3 linked regions of the Rattus norvegicus genome follow. The protein of the gene in region 2 interacts with the protein of the main gene of each other region in a pairwise test. Links are inferred from orthologs where the notes say so. Each region holds a gene or a part of one and is shown on either strand. Other genes may lie near its edges.

Region 1 (6,507 bases), on a different chromosome or scaffold from region 2:
GTCCCCTGACTACCACCCATCGATGTCCAACCAACCGGGTGCAGATACTGGCACTGGGCCACCATTTCCCTTGGGCTGGAACCTTTGCTCTAACAAAAACCAGCCAGTTCTTTATTTTTGCGTTGCTAAGGATAGAACCAATGGCTTTGAACAGGCCTGACAGATTCCCGACCACTGAGCCCCATCCTGGCCCAGCTATTCATGTTGGCTGGAGTCCACAGGTTCAGATAGATACCGTTCCTCTACTCAAGGGCTTTCAAATACCATGGGACCATGTGAAGCCAGGAACATTTTCTTAGCAAAGGCTGTGTGCAGTGGGACCTGAATGTCCCCACCCTTTGTCACCACCACGGCCTGCTAGAGAACAGAGCAGCCTTATGGTGATGCAGAGAAGGTCCCCTGCTTGGATGGTCCCTCCAGGACACACAGTGCCCCTTCCCATTGCACATGCAGCTGGGGTGTGGGGCTCCTTAAGCGGGAGTATAGGCCTGTTGCCTCAGTGGGACTTTCCCTGCAGGGGGTAGAGATCCTGTTCCAAGTGGGGCAGAGAGGAGTGGGATGCAAGTCTCATTTAAGTCCAAGCTCTTGGACACCCAAGGGACCCTGTTCACTTAGTCTTCGTGATGGGGTAGACTCAGGGACTCAGAAAGGTGAGGTGACATATCCCAGGTCACACAACTGGGAAGGAGCAGTATGGGATTTCAGCGTGGTTACTGACACAAGGCTTTGCCCGAGAGAGCCAGGGGTGTGTGTGGTGTGTGTGTGTGTGTGTGTGTGTGTGTGTGTGTGTGTGTGTGTGTGTGTCTGTCTGTCTGTCTGTCTGTCTGTCTGTCTGTCTGTCTGTGTCTGTGTGTCTGGAGAATGAATGAGCATGTGTGTTCATCTGTGTAGAGGCCAGAGGCTGACACCATGCTTTGTTGTTTCTGTTGTGCTGTCTTTCCTTCCTCCCTTCTCTCCTTCTCTCTCTCTCTCTCTCTCTTTCAACAGGGTTTCTCTGTGTAGCCCTCTGCTGTCCTGGAACTCGATCTGTAGATCAGGCTGACCTCAAGTGTCACCTGCCTCTGCCTCCCGAGTGCTGGGACTAAAGGCGTGCCCCGCCACTGGTGGCATCTCTCATGAAACCTAGATGGCTACCAAGCTGCACCTGGACCTTACACAACTCTGAGAATTCCCCTCTACCCAGCCTCTTACTGAGCTCTAGGAATGTACCCCAACCACAGGCACCTTGACACTACCTCCCTTTACCCTTTGGGCACCGCCATCATCAGGTCTTGTCAATCTTCCTACCATGTCTATCCTTCCCCCCGGCCCTCCAATGACATCTGATTGCCTTACTCAAGGTGGAAGATGGGCTTCCCAATGCTGCTCCACCTCCCTCTGTGTGCTGTCCCTGAGTACTCCCAATACCTCCTCCTCCACAAAGGACCTACTGTGTGTACTGCTCATCCTGTCTCTCAATCCCCCACTGCTCTGAAGAGGGGATTTCTAACTCCCTGCTCTATGAGATACTCTTGGGCTTCCCAGAGGTTAAGTGACCTCTCTCAGCTGACATAGCTGGGTGGTGGTGGAGCTGGGGTTCATGCTCTGCCCACCTGGGGCTGGAGGCTACAGCTGCCCTGGAACCTTGTAAAATCCACAAGCTTGGGTCTTCTGACAGCCACAACAGTGTGAAAAGCGGTCACCCTTGACCCCAGCCTGCTCTGTCTTCTGTGCTCCTGTCTCAGGTCTATGAGTGCCCAGGGCCCGCTGCCCGGCAGCCACTACCTCAGCCTCTTACCACTTCCCTCTTGCCCTTCCTCTTTCCCGTCATATTTTTAGTGCCTGTGTCTTAGCTTCCAGGGCAGCTGGCTCCACTTCCCTTTTCCCAGTGAAGGGGGGACCACTGGGCACACAGGGAGGGGGCTCCTGAGGGCTGTTTGCTAGAAGGGGAGGGAACTTCCTCTCCCTGCCAGTGACCTCTAGTTTTAGTCTGCTTGCCCTCATGCCTTTACCAGGCAGGACTTTCTTGTGCTCAGGGCTCGCCTTGCAGCAGGCCCTGGGGAAGGGCCTTAGCCTGTTCCACTGTATATAATACAGGTCCATGGCAGGAGCCAGAGGCAGCTTGGGAGAGCCTTTACCTCCATCCCCAGTCATAACCATCACATGGGAACCCAGGCCTGCTGTGGAGGAGACCCAGCCCTGCCACCCGCAGGGCAGATCCCCACATTCTCAGAGGTCGTCTGGGAGGACGAAGGAACAGTCGTCCGCAGACAATGAATCCGAGGAGAGCCCTGGACGCCACGGGCTCCTGTGGGACCTGGGCAACAGAAAGATCTTTCCCTTCCCAGGTGCCTCCTCCAGGAAGTCCCCAGTCCCTCTCTTCATTCTCCTCATTTGTGGGTGTGGCCAGGTAAGGATTAGAGTCCTCTGTCCCTCCACTCAGCACCCTGGTCAGCCAGCTCCCCTTTGGTCATTGGGAAGCACACCACAGGGCTATTTGTAAAATGAATAAATAAAGAACAAACAGAAAGATGAACTGGTCTGTGGAGACCCTTTGCCTGGTCTCGCTTTGCCGTCATGTTGGCCTTGAGCCTCAGCCTAGTCCCTGGGTCTCTGTGGAACTTAACACACCTCCCCTTTCTCCCCGCCCCCAAAAGCCCCAGAGACACAGTGGAGAGGTTATGTTAAGGAGATCTTTGGTGGCCAGAGACGTAGCCTCTTCTTATATCATGTCTCCTCAAAGCCTCCTGTGTCCCGTCCATAAATGAATGGCTGTTGAAAGAGCCCGAGGGAGCCAGGTACGGTGGGACAAGCCTTTAATCCCAGCACTGGGGAGGCAGAGGCAGCTCTGTGATGTGGAGGCCAGCCTGGTCTACAGAGCTAGTTCCAAGACAGCCAAGGCTACATGGAGAAACCCTCTCTCCAAAAATCTAAAAAAAAGGGGCGGCCAGGGCGGGGTATGAAAGAAAGAGAGAAAGATAGATAGATAGATAGATAGATAGATAGATAGATACAAACAAACAAACAAGCAAGCAAACAAACAAAGAAGAAATGAAGGGAGAACCTGATAGGTTTCTATGTTCCTGGCATTCAGAACAAGGCCCAGCATCTGGAGACGGCCCAGTGTCAGCGGGTGGGGCCTGGCTGCTCAGCATTAGGTTTCATTTGGGGAAAGGTATCACTCTGAACCAGTTAGGAGACCTGGGGATCCAGACAGTTAGCAGCTGCTGTCCCTCAGAGCCTCCAATTCCAAGAGAACTCTCTGAGGCTCAGGGCACAGGGACAAAGCTCCTCCCACAGCCCTGCTCTCTGCTCCCTGTCCCTCCAGTGTCAACTTCACAGCCTCCCTTTTCTCTGTCCTTCAGACCCACCACCCTGGCTACTGAGTGAACCCTGGCACCAGGGCCTCACTGAACGTGTTAGTCCTTCAGTCAGTGTCCCCAGCCTCCATCAAAGGTCACCAGACCCTAAGAGCTGAAAAGGCTCTGTGGTCCCTCACACTGGCCAGGTACGTGTCACCACCAATAGTATCCACCTTCATCCAAAGTCATTTTTTTCAGCCACCTCCGGGCCCTTGCAGACGACATTCCCTCTTCCTGAAAACTCTTCCTGGGGACTCCCAAGAACTCTCTTTCCTGAGCTGTGTCATGCTGAGGCCTCTAAATTTCTTCTCTCCTAGTCCTTGATCTCCTGTCTTATCTATCTTTTATCTCGTTTGTCACCATCCACCCCATAGCTACAGCAGAGCCCAGAAGGTTAGTGACCACTCAGATCCCTGTGAGACCCTGAGACCTGGAGTCTAGCCTGGTGCCTGCCTCTGCACACAGAGTTTGATGTTTGCGACTAGTTAAAACCAGTTTTATTTCCAGGTCTTTCAGGCATGGCTGCCATTGTGTCCCTGTTCTGCAGGAGGAAAGGGCTGAGACCTGTGGCTAAGACCTATTGCTTACCTGCATGACATACATCCATTCTGAAGCCCCCGGGGGAAGGCGGCCCAGCTGCTTGTCTTGCTGGCTCAGAGGCTGCTCTGGTGGGTAGCCACCAGGACCAGTCAAGGCCCCTTCCTGTCTGCCCCGCCCAGACCCTGTGGGAGGAAGTCAGCCCAGGCCACAGGGGTCTGTGCGCAGGCTCCTGACGCAGTGAGCACTTCCTAAAGGCAGTTGAGTTTCACCAGTTAGCTTAGACCCTGGCATTTGAGTTCTTGGAAGGTGAGAAAGCAGAAGAAAGGCAGATCTGAGGCAGGCCACTGGTAAAGACAGACAGACAAGACAGACAGATAGATTATGGGTATCCACAAGCTCAGTCACAGAGAAGGTCCTAAGGATGGACCTCTTCTGGGGGCTTGGGCCTTGACCCAGCAACCTCTTTATATATAAGCCAAAGGGTTTTCCAGCTTCAAGGGTCCTCTCTGAACTCTTCCTTGTGAAATCTCACCCGAGAAAAGACAAAGTCATACAGGGAAGGGCAGGGCTTCGCTTTCCTTCAAAGGAATGCCATCCTCCCCCCATGCCTCACAAAGTGCCTAATTTCTCTCCCTCCCCAGGCTGCTGGAAAACTCACCATCAAATCCGTTAATTCTTCCAGGTGACTTTGTGGCCAGATTCAGATGTTTGACCCTCAGCTCCTCCACTCCGGGTGCATGTGACTTCGGGCTGGTCACACATTACACGGAGCCTCACTTTGCTTTCCTGTGAAGGGAGTGTGCACACTCAACCTTGGGAATGTAGAGAGAACATGTGAGATTCTTGGAACGTAGTAGGTGCTCAAAAAAAGCTTTTCCTTTAGGCTTTAATACACCCCCCCTCCCCCCGTTGGCTGCTCCATCTCTCAGGCCTTTTCTGACAGGTCGGTTCAGATCTTGGAGGGAAAGGGGGATGGCTCAAAGAAACGTCGGTAAGATGAGGGCTTACTCTTTGGAATTCAGGGCACATCTTGGCTCACTGATCTGTTTCCAGTCTATTTAGAAGTCCAGTGCGGGCATGGTCACATTTGTGTCCTAGTATCTTGTAAAATGTGAGGAGAAAGGGGTGTTCAAGTGAGGATGAATTAATGAATGAGCAAATGAATGAATGAATAAATGAATACACCAAGGGGAGATAGACATGTAGTCCCTTCCTTGAGTGACACAGAGATTGCTGGCCTGCTGGTATAGGCCTGTCATCCTGGTTTCTTGGGAGACTGAGGCAGGAGGATTAAAAATGTAAGTCTCATCCAGACTGCTTAGTGAAAACTTGTCTTAAAATAAGAAACAAGAAGCAAAAGGCTGGGGACTTAGCTCACGGGTAGAGAGCTTGTCAAGGCCCTGCATGAGTGTGCACACGCACACACACACACACGCACTTGCACACACACATGCACAAGTGGGATCTGCTCTTCTCCCCTGGAGTCTGACCTCAGCCCCGTGTCTTTGACTCAGAGTCTAGCAGTTTTGTGTATAAACAGCAGGGGGCGCCCTGGGGGCCTGGACGAATCTGATTTACAGAGTGGAGCAGGCTGTCTCTCCCACATCTGTTGCTTCTCATCCAAGTTTGGCCACAGGATTAAGAAGCAGGATTCTCCACAGGCAGCAGGAAGCTGGGAACTGGTGCTTGGGAGTGGGGTGGACCAGGGGCTACAGCAGGAACAGAGAACTGGGGTCAAAGGTCCTGTTGCTATGTCTAAATTCACTCTTAGGAATTGCCCCGGTTCCTGAGACCCCTCCCAGGGTCATTGGCCATTAGCTAATATGGGACGCATCTGACACAGTGGTGATCAGTGACATTATGAAGTAGGAGTCAGTGCCTGGCATGAAAGGGACTAGAGCTAGGATGATGATCAGGGTGGTTAGTGTAAATCGCAACTTGACAGAGTCTAGAGCCACCTGGGAGATACCTCTGGACATGACCGTGGAGGGTCATCTTGGTTTTTGTTAATCAGGAAGGGAAGACCTGCCCACTGTGGGTGGCACCACTCCCTGCTGGCTTCCGGGACTGTATAAACAGAGACAGGGAGTTGAGCATGTGTTCATCCACCTTCCTCAGCTTCCTGACTGTAGGTGGAATTTGACTGGCTGCCTCAACCTTCTGACTCCTCTCTCATGGTGGATCCCACCCTTGAGCTGTGAGAAGAGAAACTCTGTTGCTTTTGTCAGAGTATATTGTCCTAACAACAGGAAAACAAACGCTAAGACAGCAACTAAAACAATGATGGCCTACAGCAATTCAGGAGTCTTCCTGCCCTGGTGGTCAATACAGCTGGTGGTCCAAAGGAGGAGCTGGTCGGCCCAATCCCAGAGGGTCAGGACTGTGTTTGGACTGGGGCCTATAGATACCAGAGATGAAGGCATGAGCACGGTGTCTATACCTGTAGTGCTAGCATTTGGGAGGTAATAGCAGGAGGATTAGGAGTCAAGGTCATTCTTGGCTGTGTTGGTGAGTCAGAGGCCAGCCTGGGCTACATGACACCCTATTTCAAAAACTGAAAAGAAAAGGGTAGGAGAGCAAGAGAGTGGGCACATAGAAGCCACAGCTGTCTCATTGCTATTCTGTG
Region 2 (6,393 bases):
ACACTCACAATCCTCAGGGTGTTGCTTTCTTTCTCAGCCTCTAGGCAATCCTGAAAGCAGAGAGTGTAGGGGCCCTCCTTTAGAAGGGAGGGGGGTGGGCACCTTCTCCTGAGGACACACGGGGTGGGGGTAGAAAAGTCCTCTGATGTTCCTCCCTTGCTTTCTCTATACTGGTCTCCTTGACAGAATTATAATGGTCTCAGAGCTCCAACTCCAAGGTTTCATTCTGGACACTTGACTCAACAACGATCACGACACACGTCCTAACCTACCGGAGCTTCTGCCAGGGAAACCCCACGACCCACCCCATGGTCTGCTACCCCGCATCCAGAGCAGGCTTCTTCTTTTCTTGCTCACCGCACACACACACATCCCCCTCCCGCCCCAGCTCTCACACCCAACCTTGGTCTGATTCACAGGTTATAAAAAGCTCTGTGGCCTAGACCAGCCTGTCCCCTGTTCCCATACCTCCTGCAAGACTTGGCCCAGCTCTCCGCACAGCACACCAATCTCTTGGCAGGCGGAGAAGTCATTTAAGTGAGTGAAGAGGTACCTGGGAGGGGAAGGACAATTAAGATGTTGGACATAACTGTCCCCTGAGAATTGGAGATAATTCCTACCTTTGGTGGGATCTGCTCGGCACAGAACTTATTTGTCCTGTATGTACCCGTTGTAGGCACCAGGGAGACAGCCATTAACAGAAAGCGATATTATTAATGCTTTAACTACAATTGTTCTGGGTATTACAAATGAGCTATAACAGTGTTAACAGGGAAGGCATCCCTGAGGAGGTGATATTTGAGGTAAGACACACAGGACAGACAGTTGCTCTCCATTGGTTGAGGGACCAGGGAGATGATTCGTTAGTAAAAATGCTTGCCTCTAAAGCTGTCGACCTGAGTCCCTGGGTTCAGTGTCTGAGATGCCATGGTGGAAGATGAGAACTGATCCTTACAAAAGATGCTCTGACCTTTGCCACACTCCTATGCGCGTGTGTGTGCACACACGTACACATCAAACACGCAAACAAACTCAACCGTTGATAAAATCATTAAGACGACAAGCTCTAGGGTGGGGTGGGAAGCAAGGTGGCCCAGTGGCCCAGCACAGATCTGCTCTGACCTATCAGATCAACAGCCAAGGACTGCTTTTCTGTCCCAGACCCTAGAGGATACCAAGGACAAGAACAGTCACTAGTCACCCGTCCATCCCTAGTACCTGTTGAGCCAAGAGAGCAGGGCATGAGCCTCCCGTACCAGCTCTACAGCAGCATTGAGGACATCGGCGGGTGTCTCAGCACAGTCTCTCAGACGGCCTTGGACCAAGCTTTGGAAGGCCTGGGTCCTGTCCAGCAGCCCCTGGGCTAGGCTCTTGAGGTTCTCAGTCTGTAACTTAGAGCCCTGCAGCACGAGGGGGGCATGTTACTGCATCTGCCCTGGCAGCCAGCCCACGTGGGCAAACCCCTAAGCTAGTGGATGCTACAGCCAGTGTGGGCAATGCTCACTCACCAGGGCCCGGAGCTGTTCCACTCCATGTAGAATGAGCTCCTGGTGGCCCAGAGGCCACACGGTCAGAGCCTCGAGGTTTTGGGGACAGAGCTGCAGCAGGTACTTTCCAGGCAGCTCCCAGTCCTCGAAGGGATAGTCCTGTAGGACGTCATCAAGGCCTGGGGCAAAAAGGGGGTCAGAGTGGGGAAACAGGTGTCATTACCATTCTGAGATGTTATTATATCAGAGCCCTTCCCCTCCCTCCTGTCCCTAATGACAACCCTGAGACCCTGGGTGTGTTCTGCCCTTCTCACGGCTGATTCTTCTGAGTCGAAAACCATAGACAGCGGTGACTCTAGCAAGTGTGCCCAACCTACTGACGTTGACATCTACCGAATTCATGCCCAAATATCTTGAAATATAGTCACCACGAAACACAACAAACAGGGCCCTGGTGGCTCTTCCCAAGGACCCACGTTCAATCCCCAGCACCCACATGGCAGCTCACAACTGTCTGTAACTCCAGTTCCAGAGGACCTGGCACTCTCACACAGACATATATACAGGTAAAACACCGATGCACATTAAAAAAAAAATCTTTAAAAAAACAAAAACAACAAAAGAAGCTAGTGAGATGCTTCCGTGGTTAAGAACAATCCATACTGTTCTTGGCAGGGACCTAAGCTTGTTTTCCCAGTATCCATACCCCAAGCACGTGGAGTAACGGAGACCTGAGTGGGGGCTAACACTTAAAATATAGACTAGTGGGTTGGGGATTTAGCTCAGTGGTAGAGCGCTTGCCTAGCAAGCGCAAGGCCCTGGGTTTGGTCCCCAGCTCCGAAAAAAAGAAAAAAAAAATATATAGACTAGTTCTGTGCCTAAATTTCTTCGCATACAACAGGAACAGGACTGGAGAGATGGCTCAGTAGTTAAGGGCACTTTACTGTTGTTACAGAGGACCCAGGTTCAGTTCCCAGCACCCACAGGGTAAATCACAACCATCCAAGAGCACTCTCCAGGTACACATACATATGTGCAGGTAACACACACACACACACACACACAGACACACACACACACACACACACACAGAGTAAATAAAATACCTAAAATGGGAACGACAGAAGTGCCTGCTTCTAACCATGCATTGTAGATGATGACTGTGGGCCACTCAGTCCACAGTCACACATCAACAGCCATTCACATTGCTGCCGGGCTGTCTACCATGACCTGACTTTGTGGGAGGCAATGTTTTGAGAACTTTACCCATAGTTGGTGTGGTAGTGCATGCCTTTAATCCCAACACTTGGAACAAGGAGACAAGAGGATCCCTGAGTTCACAACCAGGGCTACACAAAGAAACCCTGTCTCAAAAAAAAAAAAAAAACAAAAAACAAAAAAAAACCCAACAACCAAAAAAAAAAAAAACAAAAAAAAAAAAAAAACAAAAAAAAAAACAAAACAAAAAAAAAAAAAAAACGAACAAACCAACCCAAAAACCAAAAACCAACTTTACCCATCTGGCTCCTTTGTCATTTCTACAAGGTGGGGACCACCCATCATCGTCCCTGATACAGAACTGGGAAAACCAACGGAGATGCAGCGGCATGTTCAGACGTTGGTAGAAAACCTCCCAGAGCTGTCATGGGGAATGTGTGGTCATTAGATGCTCCTCCTGATTTCCCCTGCACCATTAAGAGCGCTGGATTGGGAGCTCAGGAGCCAGGGTTACTCAGACAATTTCTTTCCTGTGTTGAATGTGCTGGTCTGCCGTCCTCCTCATTTTGTCCGATTCATGAACAGTGAAAGCCAGACCTGTGGTCACCGTCCTGGTGAGTTGGTAGTGCTGGTCTGGGCCCCAGTGTGGGAGTCTGACTGGGCTCTGCTGGGCTGCTCACACGGAGAAGGCCTCCAGGCAGGCTCCAGCTGTCGTCGTCCCCCCCCACCCCCAGCCTGCACACTCCCTGCTGCAGTCACAGATCGCCCTGAGTCTAACTGTGTTTGTGACTCTTGGTCACCTGGGGAGTGATCCTCACTCCCGACGACGGAAGCCCCAGGGCGGAGTTGTGTCACCCCTTCAGTATGACTGGGGTTTCTGTTTCTCTTACTGCCAACCTCAGGCTGGGAAAATGACACCAGGGCCGGCCCTGTTCCAAGACTGAATAAATCACTTCCTGGCTCTGTGTATGTTTCTACTTCTGAAAAATGGGCTTACTAATAGCTCTCAGGGCCCTGGGGCACAGAGAAGATGACGGAGATAAAGGGGGCGTGGGCCACCAGAGCCTCCCTGTTTTACCTATTACCAGGTGGCCTCCTGCCACCCTGGCGGGCGCTAGAACACACAAAAGTCCAGAAAAGACCCCTTCCTGCGTCTTGGGCCCTGTAGTGTCGCCTGGCCTGTACAGGGGACTCTGGTAGGCTGGTACAGGGCAGACGCTCTATAAATACCTGTTGACTAATAGACTCCGCAGGTTCTTTCTCCTTTTTCCTCCCTACTTTTTGGTCCAAGGGACACCGCACTAATCCCCTTGAGCCCACCCCACCCCCGCCTCTCCCGGTTCACCCACCTCTCAGCCAAGCTGCCACCTTCCCGGGGGTCCAGGTCTCCACGGGCTCCATACTGAGCTCCGCCCGCAGCGTCCAGACCCTGCAGGAATTTCCGCTCCTAGTCGGAGCCCGGAGCCCGCGGGGCTGGGCCAGAGTAGCAGGGCGGAGCCGCTGCATACCTGGGCCCACGTGGCCACCCAGGTGAGGCGCTGCCACTGTCATTGGTCCACCGCCTGTCTTCCTTCTGCCCTGCCCCTCTGCCATCCTAGGACTTTGGCAGCTAAGCAGTTGGGACTCCTGGGCTGGCGCCAAGAGGTGTGACTCAGGCAGTCCGGAACTGGCATGGTGTTCATTCAAAACTGGCCTCACCGAGGAGGATCCCTGCAAGTTTGACCTTAGCCGGGTCTACATAGTGAGTTCCAGGCTATCCAGAACTATGTATCAAGACTTGTCTCAAATATCAACAAAACAAAAAACAAACAACTAGGCCCATACCCCAGCCGAGAGGACCCTAACCTCTCAGCACTCCCTCAAAAGAGTACTTGGTGAATGTTTGGCACAGAAGCAAAGAGCATGATTAGCCCCCAACCACCAACCCCCAGATCCCTGTGTTATCTCGTTATTGCTATTTGGAGTTGTCGCACAGACAGCTGACCTAACTTTCAGTGCTCAGTTCCAGGGCATAACAGTCCTTGCTCTATGGGACATTTGCGAGTATATCTGAGCAAATGCTAACTGTAAATGGTGTAATCTCAGGATTCTGGAGGCTGAGGCAGGTGGATCGCTCGAGTTCAGGGAGGGCCTGGACTACAGAGTGAGTCCATTCCAAAACAAAATGAAAACAGCAGAAACTAAAATCTAAGGAAACAAAAGCCTCAGCTCGAGACTCTGTCCCTTTGACAATCTGATGAGACTTAAGAGTCCCTTTCTCAAAGTAAGACTTTAATCAATTCAGTTATTACTTATTTTAGGACACGACATGCCTTTATTGGTCACCATAAGTGAAGAGTAAACTCACCAGCCATTCCCGAGAGACATTTGCAGATATATTAGCTGCCTCCTGAAAGCACTTTTATTCTTTTTTAAAAGATTTATTTATGGGCTGGAGAGATGGCTCAGCGATTAAGAGAACCCGACTGCTCTTCCAGAGGTCATGAGTTCAATTCCCAGCAACCACATGGTGGGTCACAACCATCTGTAAAGAGATCCGATGCCCTCTTCTGGTGTATCTGAAGGCAGCTACAGTGTACTTATATATAGTAAATGAATAAATCTTTTTAAAAAAAGACTTATTTATTTATTTATTTATTTATTTATTTAATCTATGTGAGTACACTCACTGAAGCTGTCTTCAGACACACCAGAAGAGGGCATCAGATCCCATTACAGATGGTTGTGAGCCACCATGTGGTTGCTGGGAATTGAACCTCTGGAAGAGCAGTCGGTGCTCTTAACCACTGAGCCATCTCTCCAGCCCGCACTTTGCTTTCTTGCTACAAATTTTAAGCTGCTTTTAATTCTATGTTGCTCACAGTGCTCTACAACTCATGGGTTCCAGTGATTTTCGTGCCTCAGTTTCCAAAAACAGTTTGTAACACAGAGCCAGCAATTAGGGCTGGAGAGATGGCCAACAGTTAAAAACAGGCAGAGAACCAGGTTCAATTCCTAGGGCCCACATGTTGATTCACAACTGTCTTGTAACTCCAGTTCCAGGGGATCTGACGCCCTCTTCTGGTCTCCTCATGAACTGCATGAATATGGTACAAAACCCAGGCAAATACCCATACTCACAAATCTTTTCTTAAAAAAAGCATAAAACCAGGCTGGAGAGATGGCTCAGTGGTTAAGAGCACTGACTGCTCTTCCAGAGGTCCTGAGTTCAATTCCCAGCCACCACATGGTGGCTCACAACCATCTTTGTAGTGGGAGCCAATGCCCTCTTCTGGTGTGTCTGATGACAGTGATAGTGTATTCACATACATAAAAATAAATACATCTTATATTTTTGGTTGTGAGCCTAGCCTTTAACGGCTGAGCCATTTCTCCAGCCCAAAATAAATAAATCTTTAAAAAAAAAGCACAAACCAATGTTTAGAATCACACCAACAATTATAACAAGTCACAAATCTGTGGATAGGTGTGGTAGTGCACACCTTAATCCCAGCCCTCAGAAGGCAGAGGTAGGTAGGTTCTATGAGTTCAAGGAGAGTCTGATCTACATTGTGAGCTCCGGGACAGTCAGGACTACATAGCAACCCAGTGATGCACGCCAATAAGAATTTCAATGTAAGCATGTAATAATATATATTTTATTTATATTTATTCTCAAAGAATGCTGGCCAGGTATGGTGGAACGCAC
Region 3 (6,385 bases), on a different chromosome or scaffold from region 2:
GCTCCTTGTCTAACTTTGCAGAAAACGTTCATTCATCTCCCAGCACTTCTTTAGAAAGAAAGGAAGAGAGAGAAAAAAAAAGAAGCTAGCATAGAATACGTATTTTCATACTTTGCTTCTGTAATTTAGTAAAACATCATGGAGGTCTGTCTGGATCAACTCAGTGGCCTCTTCCCTCAACTCTGCAGCTTCAGTCACCATCCCCTATACTAAGAGTGTATTCTCTCAAGTTTTCTGCTAACAGACATTGAAGGCAATGAAGAATCTTTTGCTTTTATTGCCTCACGCAAATAAAAATGTATTCCCCTGTTAAATTCCTAGAGCTGCACTGTTGGATCTGAGGACTTACTGTGTGATTTTAGAAGATACCCAGCATTTCCCGTAGATATCAGGGTCTAAACAGGGTAAACAGTCATCTCTTTAAGGTTCTAAAGTTGAGGGAAATTGGCCTAGGGAATTGGTTATGCATGTGACAGAAAAACAGGAAACAGTAAGACAACCCAGAGACCAGGAGGAGCCACAAGCTCTCCCTTCTGTTGGGAGGCTAAAGGCAGAAAGCATTTCCAGAGCTTGGAGGTTAGGAAGGACAGGAGCTAGAAAAGCAGAGGCCCTGTGGCTGGGGCAGGATCCTAAATAAAGGAAGAGCAGCTGCAGAGACACGGCCTGGGGCAAGAACATTTACAGGAGAACCTGGTTTCTCCATTCTTTCAGCTTCCAAACTCCTTAGTAGCTCCCACTGGCCAGACCCAGCCTGGCAAGACCATTCACCTCATTCAAGAAGACTCATTAGAGAAGAGTCATTCCAGAGTCTTCAAAATGCACCAGCAGGACAGGGTCCCTCCCCAAGGCAAGGGCAAGAAACAGATCCAAGCTAACAGGGCCCGGAGTACATTAACCCTTCTTGAGACGGTGACTAATCTGTACTGCCGCCAGCGAAGGCTAAAATGGCCTTAACACACTGTTTTCAAACTTGAGGCTTAGCACTTGTCTGACAGGTGAAAGTTGAGATCTCAGCCAAGCTCACCTTCACGCTTACTGAGAACCCTGAAGTTCAGAGCACCTGAGCACAAACTGCCCGCATCCACCCAGATGGGAACGCATCCGGTACAAGGCAGGCCCACCCCCTCAACCTGTCCCAGTGGCACACTCAGAAACCAGGATCTCCTGACGGCGCCGAGCCAAACTAGCCAGTTACTTTCTAAGTAGAGGCCTAGTTCAAGAACTGTTCTAGAAGAACTGAACGGTACCAAGTGCCAAGGCAAGGGAAAACACCTTCACTGCACTCTGCACACAGTCCAAGGAACAATGTGTTCCTGTAATCTCGTACCCCACTCGCCCCTCCTTGTAACCGCCTTCCAGCCATTCATGCGCCATCCTTGCCTTATCGAGCACTGCAAAGAACAAATAACGAAAGCCTGGACAAGAAGTTCAGTTATAAAAACGACCATCCCTGAAGTCCTTTCTGCCTGACCAACGCACTAACCATAAAGAAAACCCTGCCAGTCACCTTCCCCTCTGCTCTAACTACTATTCGAATACATTTAGCTTTTTTTTTTTTTAATCTTCTAAGAAAGCTGAAACAGGGCTCCCAGATGCAGATTAAAGGTCTCTCCTGGGGTTGGGGATTTAGCTCAGTGGTAGAGCGCTTGCCTAGCAGGCCGCAAGGCCCTGGGTTCGGTCCCCAACTCTCGGGAAAAAAAAAAAAAAGATGCCAAAGCACCCGTAAGTATCTTACCACAATGTGAGCAGGAAAGATTTTTTTTTGATAAGCTGAATCAATAAAAATTAAAAAGCCGTTTTCTATCACATAGCACACTGTCTGGCATTCCAGCAGGGAAAGAAAAAAAAATCAATAAATCTCTTTGTTGTCAAATGTTCCAGGAAGGTGAATTAAATCACGCTGTATGTTTAAAATATGTGGATCTTTTATAAGCCCAGATTTTTTTTTTTTTGGTCTAAATTTGAAAGCATGTGTTCTTATTCAAAAAACCTGGGAAATATAAGAGAAAATCCATAATGACAGCAGTATTTACATTGTTTAGATCAGAATGTATAAAAGAACTGCTTGTCCTTGGTAACTTTTTAAAACTGCATGTGTGCGCAAGCTTGTTGCTGCTTGCCTGAGGAGGTCAGAAGACAACTTGTGGGCGGCAGGGCCCTCCTCCACCATGTGGCTCCTGGAGAGTGAGCTCCAGCTGTCAATTTGTAATGTCTCCCTGAAGTAACCTTACCTGGTCGCGGTTACTGTGTCTCATTTTTTAACTGTTGGCCATGACAGTGCAGTATCATTGAACTGAACATCTTTTTTTTTTTTTTAATTTTAAGAGTGTTTCTCTGGTACATTAATATATCCAGAGACATTAATGGTCCAGAGATAGCTTTAAGCCTTCCTGCTACTTTAATATTGACCTTCATTATACTTCTCAAATTCCAGGGACTGCTGAAACACATTGGCTTCTAAGTTTCCCCCACTGTATCTGCTTTTACCTTCAAATCTTTCACATGTTGACTCAACAGACTGCAGCACCTGCAAAGCCGTCCCCAATTCAGCTTCCTGGATTCCAATGTCCAATTGCCACTGTCCTGTCTTTTCTAAACTATGTCAAACTGTGATATAGGCGAAAGGCAAGGCATCCACAGGGATCCAGTGCCTCCAGCCCCGCAGCCGGTCTGTAGGAGGGTTTGCAACTGGGCTCTTTCTTTTCACAAACAAAACACCCACTCGGTGCCACTGTGCTACCCCTGGCTTTTACTATGAGAACTGAACTTGGCAAATGCCACGAGGAGTGCCAACTTCCTACCAGCCCAGCCACCCCGTTTCTTTCACAGAGAAGGAAAAAAAAAATCTGAGAAGCTCTGGAATTCTAGAAGGCACCTTGATTAACCACTTCACGGGGAAGTCTTCAATATTGCTGATTCTTACAGGCAGCTGCTCCAGCAGCCTGTAATTAAGACTTTTTTCCCCCCTAAACACTCCCTTATTACATGGGACTCTGATCATTCTGTCAGCAAAAAGGAAGATCGTTACTCAAAGTCCAGACAGCTTCAACTTGGGGTGTTTGGGTAAAAATGATGGGTACATTATTAACCCCTTGCTTTCTCAATCAAAGACCCACTCGACGAACGGGGACTCTTAATGTTTTGGGAAACCAAATTCATGAAATGATACAACAGGAATTTGTAATCCGTTGAGTAATTTGCAACCAGCACATCTGCAGGAGGACAGAATTCAAAGTCAGGCACATAGAGCCTGAGCAACACCGAGAACTGATAACCCACCTCTGGAAGGGTGTCTGCCCCTGAGAAATGATAACCACCTCAGGAAGGGTGTCTGCCACACACACCTGTCCTGGAGTCTTACAGCCTTGTTGGCTGTGGCTCCCGCTTCCCACCCTCGGCTTTAGAGAGATCCCACCTGACCCCTTTAATTTCTTAATTATATTTTCCATTTGGTGGTGTTGTGAACAAACTCAGGGCCATGCTAGACAATTATTCTATCATTCAGCTATTTGCCCCCCTCTTTATTTTTGCACCCCACCCCTTCTCTGTAGCATTTTTTTTTTCTATTTGATAAAAATGCATACTCAGACCTGGACTGGAGCTGCCTGTCCCTCATGTCCTTTAAGCCATTCCCAACGAGTACTTCTGATCTAAAACCCGGAGACGTTGTTATGACTTCCAACCTTCCTCCTCTCCCCCGGACCGATCCAACAGACCCCACCCCCGGGCCCCGAGGCGTCCAAATTGAAAACTTTCCCCTCCCCATCCACGAGCTCCCAAGCTCCAGACACCTGAGGAGAGCTGAAAAGGAGAGGGGCCCGTCCGAAACAGCTGGACTAGGGAGGGCGTGGACGCCCTTGGCAATGAGACGCTGGGAAGGTCGCCCCGCAATGTGCTCCCATCTCGGAAAGGCGACCTGGAGCTGTGCAGCGAAGACCCTGGCCTCGAACCCGCGACCCGCTACCGCGCTGGGCGACGACCCTGCGGTCTCCGACTTGTCCTCTCACCAACGCTGCGAAGCCCGCGTCCCGGCCTTACCCCGAGCACCTCCCCACGGTCGCCACCAACCCACCCGACACCCGGCCCCACATCTCAAGCCAGGGCTCTCAACAGCGCGACCCCCGGCCTCAGGGCCGCCCAGAGAGCCGGCCACACCTCCATCACTCACCGCTGCCGCCCTCACCGCCACCGCCTTCGTCCATCTTGAGGCCACTCCCAGCCAGCCGGCGAGCCCGGAGCCGGCGGGAGCGACTGGGCTGAAAGCCGGGACTAGGAGAAGTGGTCGCGGGGAGAACGGAGGAGCTCCTCAGCGTGCGCGGCCCGGGTCGCGGCCGGGCCTCCACGGAGGGCCGGGCGGAGCCTCGCTGCTCCGGCGCCGTCACGTGACATAAACCACGCCCCCCTCTGTGGGTGTGGGCGGAGACTAGACGCCTAGTGGTCCCGCCCTCCAGACTCCGCCGGGCCTTGCAGTAGCTGCAGTAGCTGCTTAGCCTAGAGACTTGGATCCTGCAGCGCTGCACCCTCCTTCGAACCTGGTGTCTGCCCCTCTAGAGCATCCTGGAGAGGAAGCCGTGTCTATCAGGAGCACGAGGACGCCCCGCTCTACAAAACCAAATGGCTATGTTGCGACTCGCAAGTGCATGGAGTAGGGGAGTGGGAAAAGATCTGGAAGGGAAGGCTGATGATGATTGGCTCAACGAAAAGAACTAACTATAAGTTTTACTGTGACCGCAGCATGCATGGGCGTCCAAACATGACATACACACAGTAATAATTGTGTGAGGAGATAGTTCTGTTGTTAAGAGCACTCTCTGCTCTTGAAGAGAGCCAGAGTTTGTTTCCAGCACTCACAGAACCCTTGTAACTACAGCTCCAAAAAGGATCGGATACTTCTGGCCTCCAAAGACACCTGTACTCATATGAGGGTTATCTGGAACACTCTTCTTGCCTCCAACGACACCAGGCATGCTTGTGGTGCATACATACACGCGGGCAAAACACCTATACACACAAAATAAATTTAAAAGAAAAACTTTTTTGAGACAGGGTTTCTCTGCATAGCCCTCAATATCATGGAACTCTCTGTGTGTACCAGGCTAACCTTCGACTCAGAGGTCTTCCTGCCTCTGACACCCGAATGCTGGAACTAAAAGGATGAGCCAAGGGGTTGGGGATTTAGCTCAGTGGTAGAGCGCTTGCCTAGCAAGCACAAGGCCCTGGGTTCGGTCCTCAGCTCCGAAGGGGAAAAAAAAAAGAAAAGAAAAAGAAAAGGATGACCCAACATGCCCAGCTAAATAATTTTTTTTTCAAATGTTTATTTTAAAAAATAATTTTAAAAATAATAAAAATTGGGTGTGATGCTTTGATGACAGCAAGCAAATCTCTATGAATTCTTCGTGGGCTTGGTCTATATAGTGAGTTCTAGGTTAGCCAGAGATACCTAGTGAGTCCCTGTCTGAAATAATAACAATAATAATAATCGTCATCATCATCGTCTGAAAATGAGCCCACTGTGAAGAAGCCTCTCCCTCTCCCCACCTCCTCCCTTCTTCATCCTCAAGATGTTAGGGTAATTCCAGCCTTTTATCCCTTCCGTGTATAATGAAAATGGAGTCTCTTTTTCCTGCGGATTGGATGCATTTTAAAATTAACAAAGTATCGAGGTTTGTAAATGAATGTAGTCATGACGTTGAACCCTAATCCCAGTCCAGCACAGCTGGGGCCCAGCTCTCAAAAAGCCTGATTACAGAGGTTGGCCGGCCTGGCGTCAGATGCCCTTGGAGTTGAGCTTTAGTCTCTCTTGGGTTGCTGCCAGCTGCCCTGGATTTATGATGCAGTGGGAGCTCTGAATTCAATTTCCCGTGGGCACAGCCCAGGGCTGGGCAGACCGCCTCAGTTCGTCCCTGTTCCAAATCTATGGCTTGCTTCTCTCAGTCCATATGTCTCGTTTCCAGTAACCTCTCCTTAGCATTGCCTGTGTACCCTCCCGAGCCTTTCTGCTCGAATTAAATTGCATTAAAGAGAAGCAAACATTATAAGGGAGGAGATGGTTCGTCTGTAATAAAATTTCCCAGCAACTGTTTCATATTTACAAATTGCCCGTTGAATCAAAGGATGCTTCCTCCATCGTCCATCTGTCAAAGCAGACAGCCTTCACCTTTTGCTCAAGGTTAAAGGATGATTTCAAAGAGTCCAATTTCCTGATAACCTCAAGAATTATAACCCCGGATATTCTGCTGCTTCCTAGACTGCAAGATAGGCTTCTGCAAGCTGATAAGATGTTTAGCTGCTTGTGACAAATCCACAGAGAAATGGACTGAGAGAAGAGATGCAGGTTCAAGTCCTGATGAACAAAACTCTGGCTTCCTGATCCTGTTCCTGGCCA

The links.
Region 1: the proteins of Cnksr1 (region 2) and Cyth4 interact in binary tests that used the Homo sapiens proteins (3 or more experiments, as listed by UniProt). The two-hybrid records come from large-scale screens. The link is inferred for Rattus norvegicus from reciprocal best matches to the Homo sapiens genes CNKSR1 and CYTH4.
Region 3: the proteins of Cnksr1 (region 2) and Cyth3 interact in binary tests that used the Homo sapiens proteins (3 or more experiments, as listed by UniProt). The two-hybrid records come from large-scale screens. The link is inferred for Rattus norvegicus from reciprocal best matches to the Homo sapiens genes CNKSR1 and CYTH3.

The regions. Positions count from the first base shown.
Region 1 is NC_086025.1:112,030,283-112,036,789, reverse strand, and holds the start of Cyth4 (cytohesin-4), read right to left. Parts: upstream 4,009-6,507; 5' UTR 3,949-4,008; coding exon 3,930-3,948; intron 1-3,929. UniProt on the Homo sapiens protein: Promotes guanine-nucleotide exchange on ARF1 and ARF5. Promotes the activation of ARF factors through replacement of GDP with GTP.
Region 2 is NC_086023.1:151,737,747-151,744,139, forward strand, and holds the start of Cnksr1 (connector enhancer of kinase suppressor of ras 1), read right to left. Parts: upstream 4,304-6,393; 5' UTR 4,299-4,303; coding exon 4,055-4,298; intron 3,810-4,054; exon of another isoform or gene 3,008-3,809; coding exon of another isoform or gene 3,004-3,007; intron 1,667-3,003; coding exon 1,509-1,666; intron 1,401-1,508; coding exon 1,219-1,400; intron 554-1,218; coding exon 469-553; intron 51-468; coding exon 9-50; intron 1-8. UniProt on the Homo sapiens protein: May function as an adapter protein or regulator of Ras signaling pathways.
Region 3 is NC_086030.1:16,043,106-16,049,490, forward strand, and holds the start of Cyth3 (cytohesin-3), read right to left. Parts: upstream 4,324-6,385; 5' UTR 4,203-4,323; coding exon 4,169-4,202; intron 1-4,168. UniProt on the Homo sapiens protein: Promotes guanine-nucleotide exchange on ARF1 and ARF6. Promotes the activation of ARF factors through replacement of GDP with GTP. Plays a role in the epithelial polarization.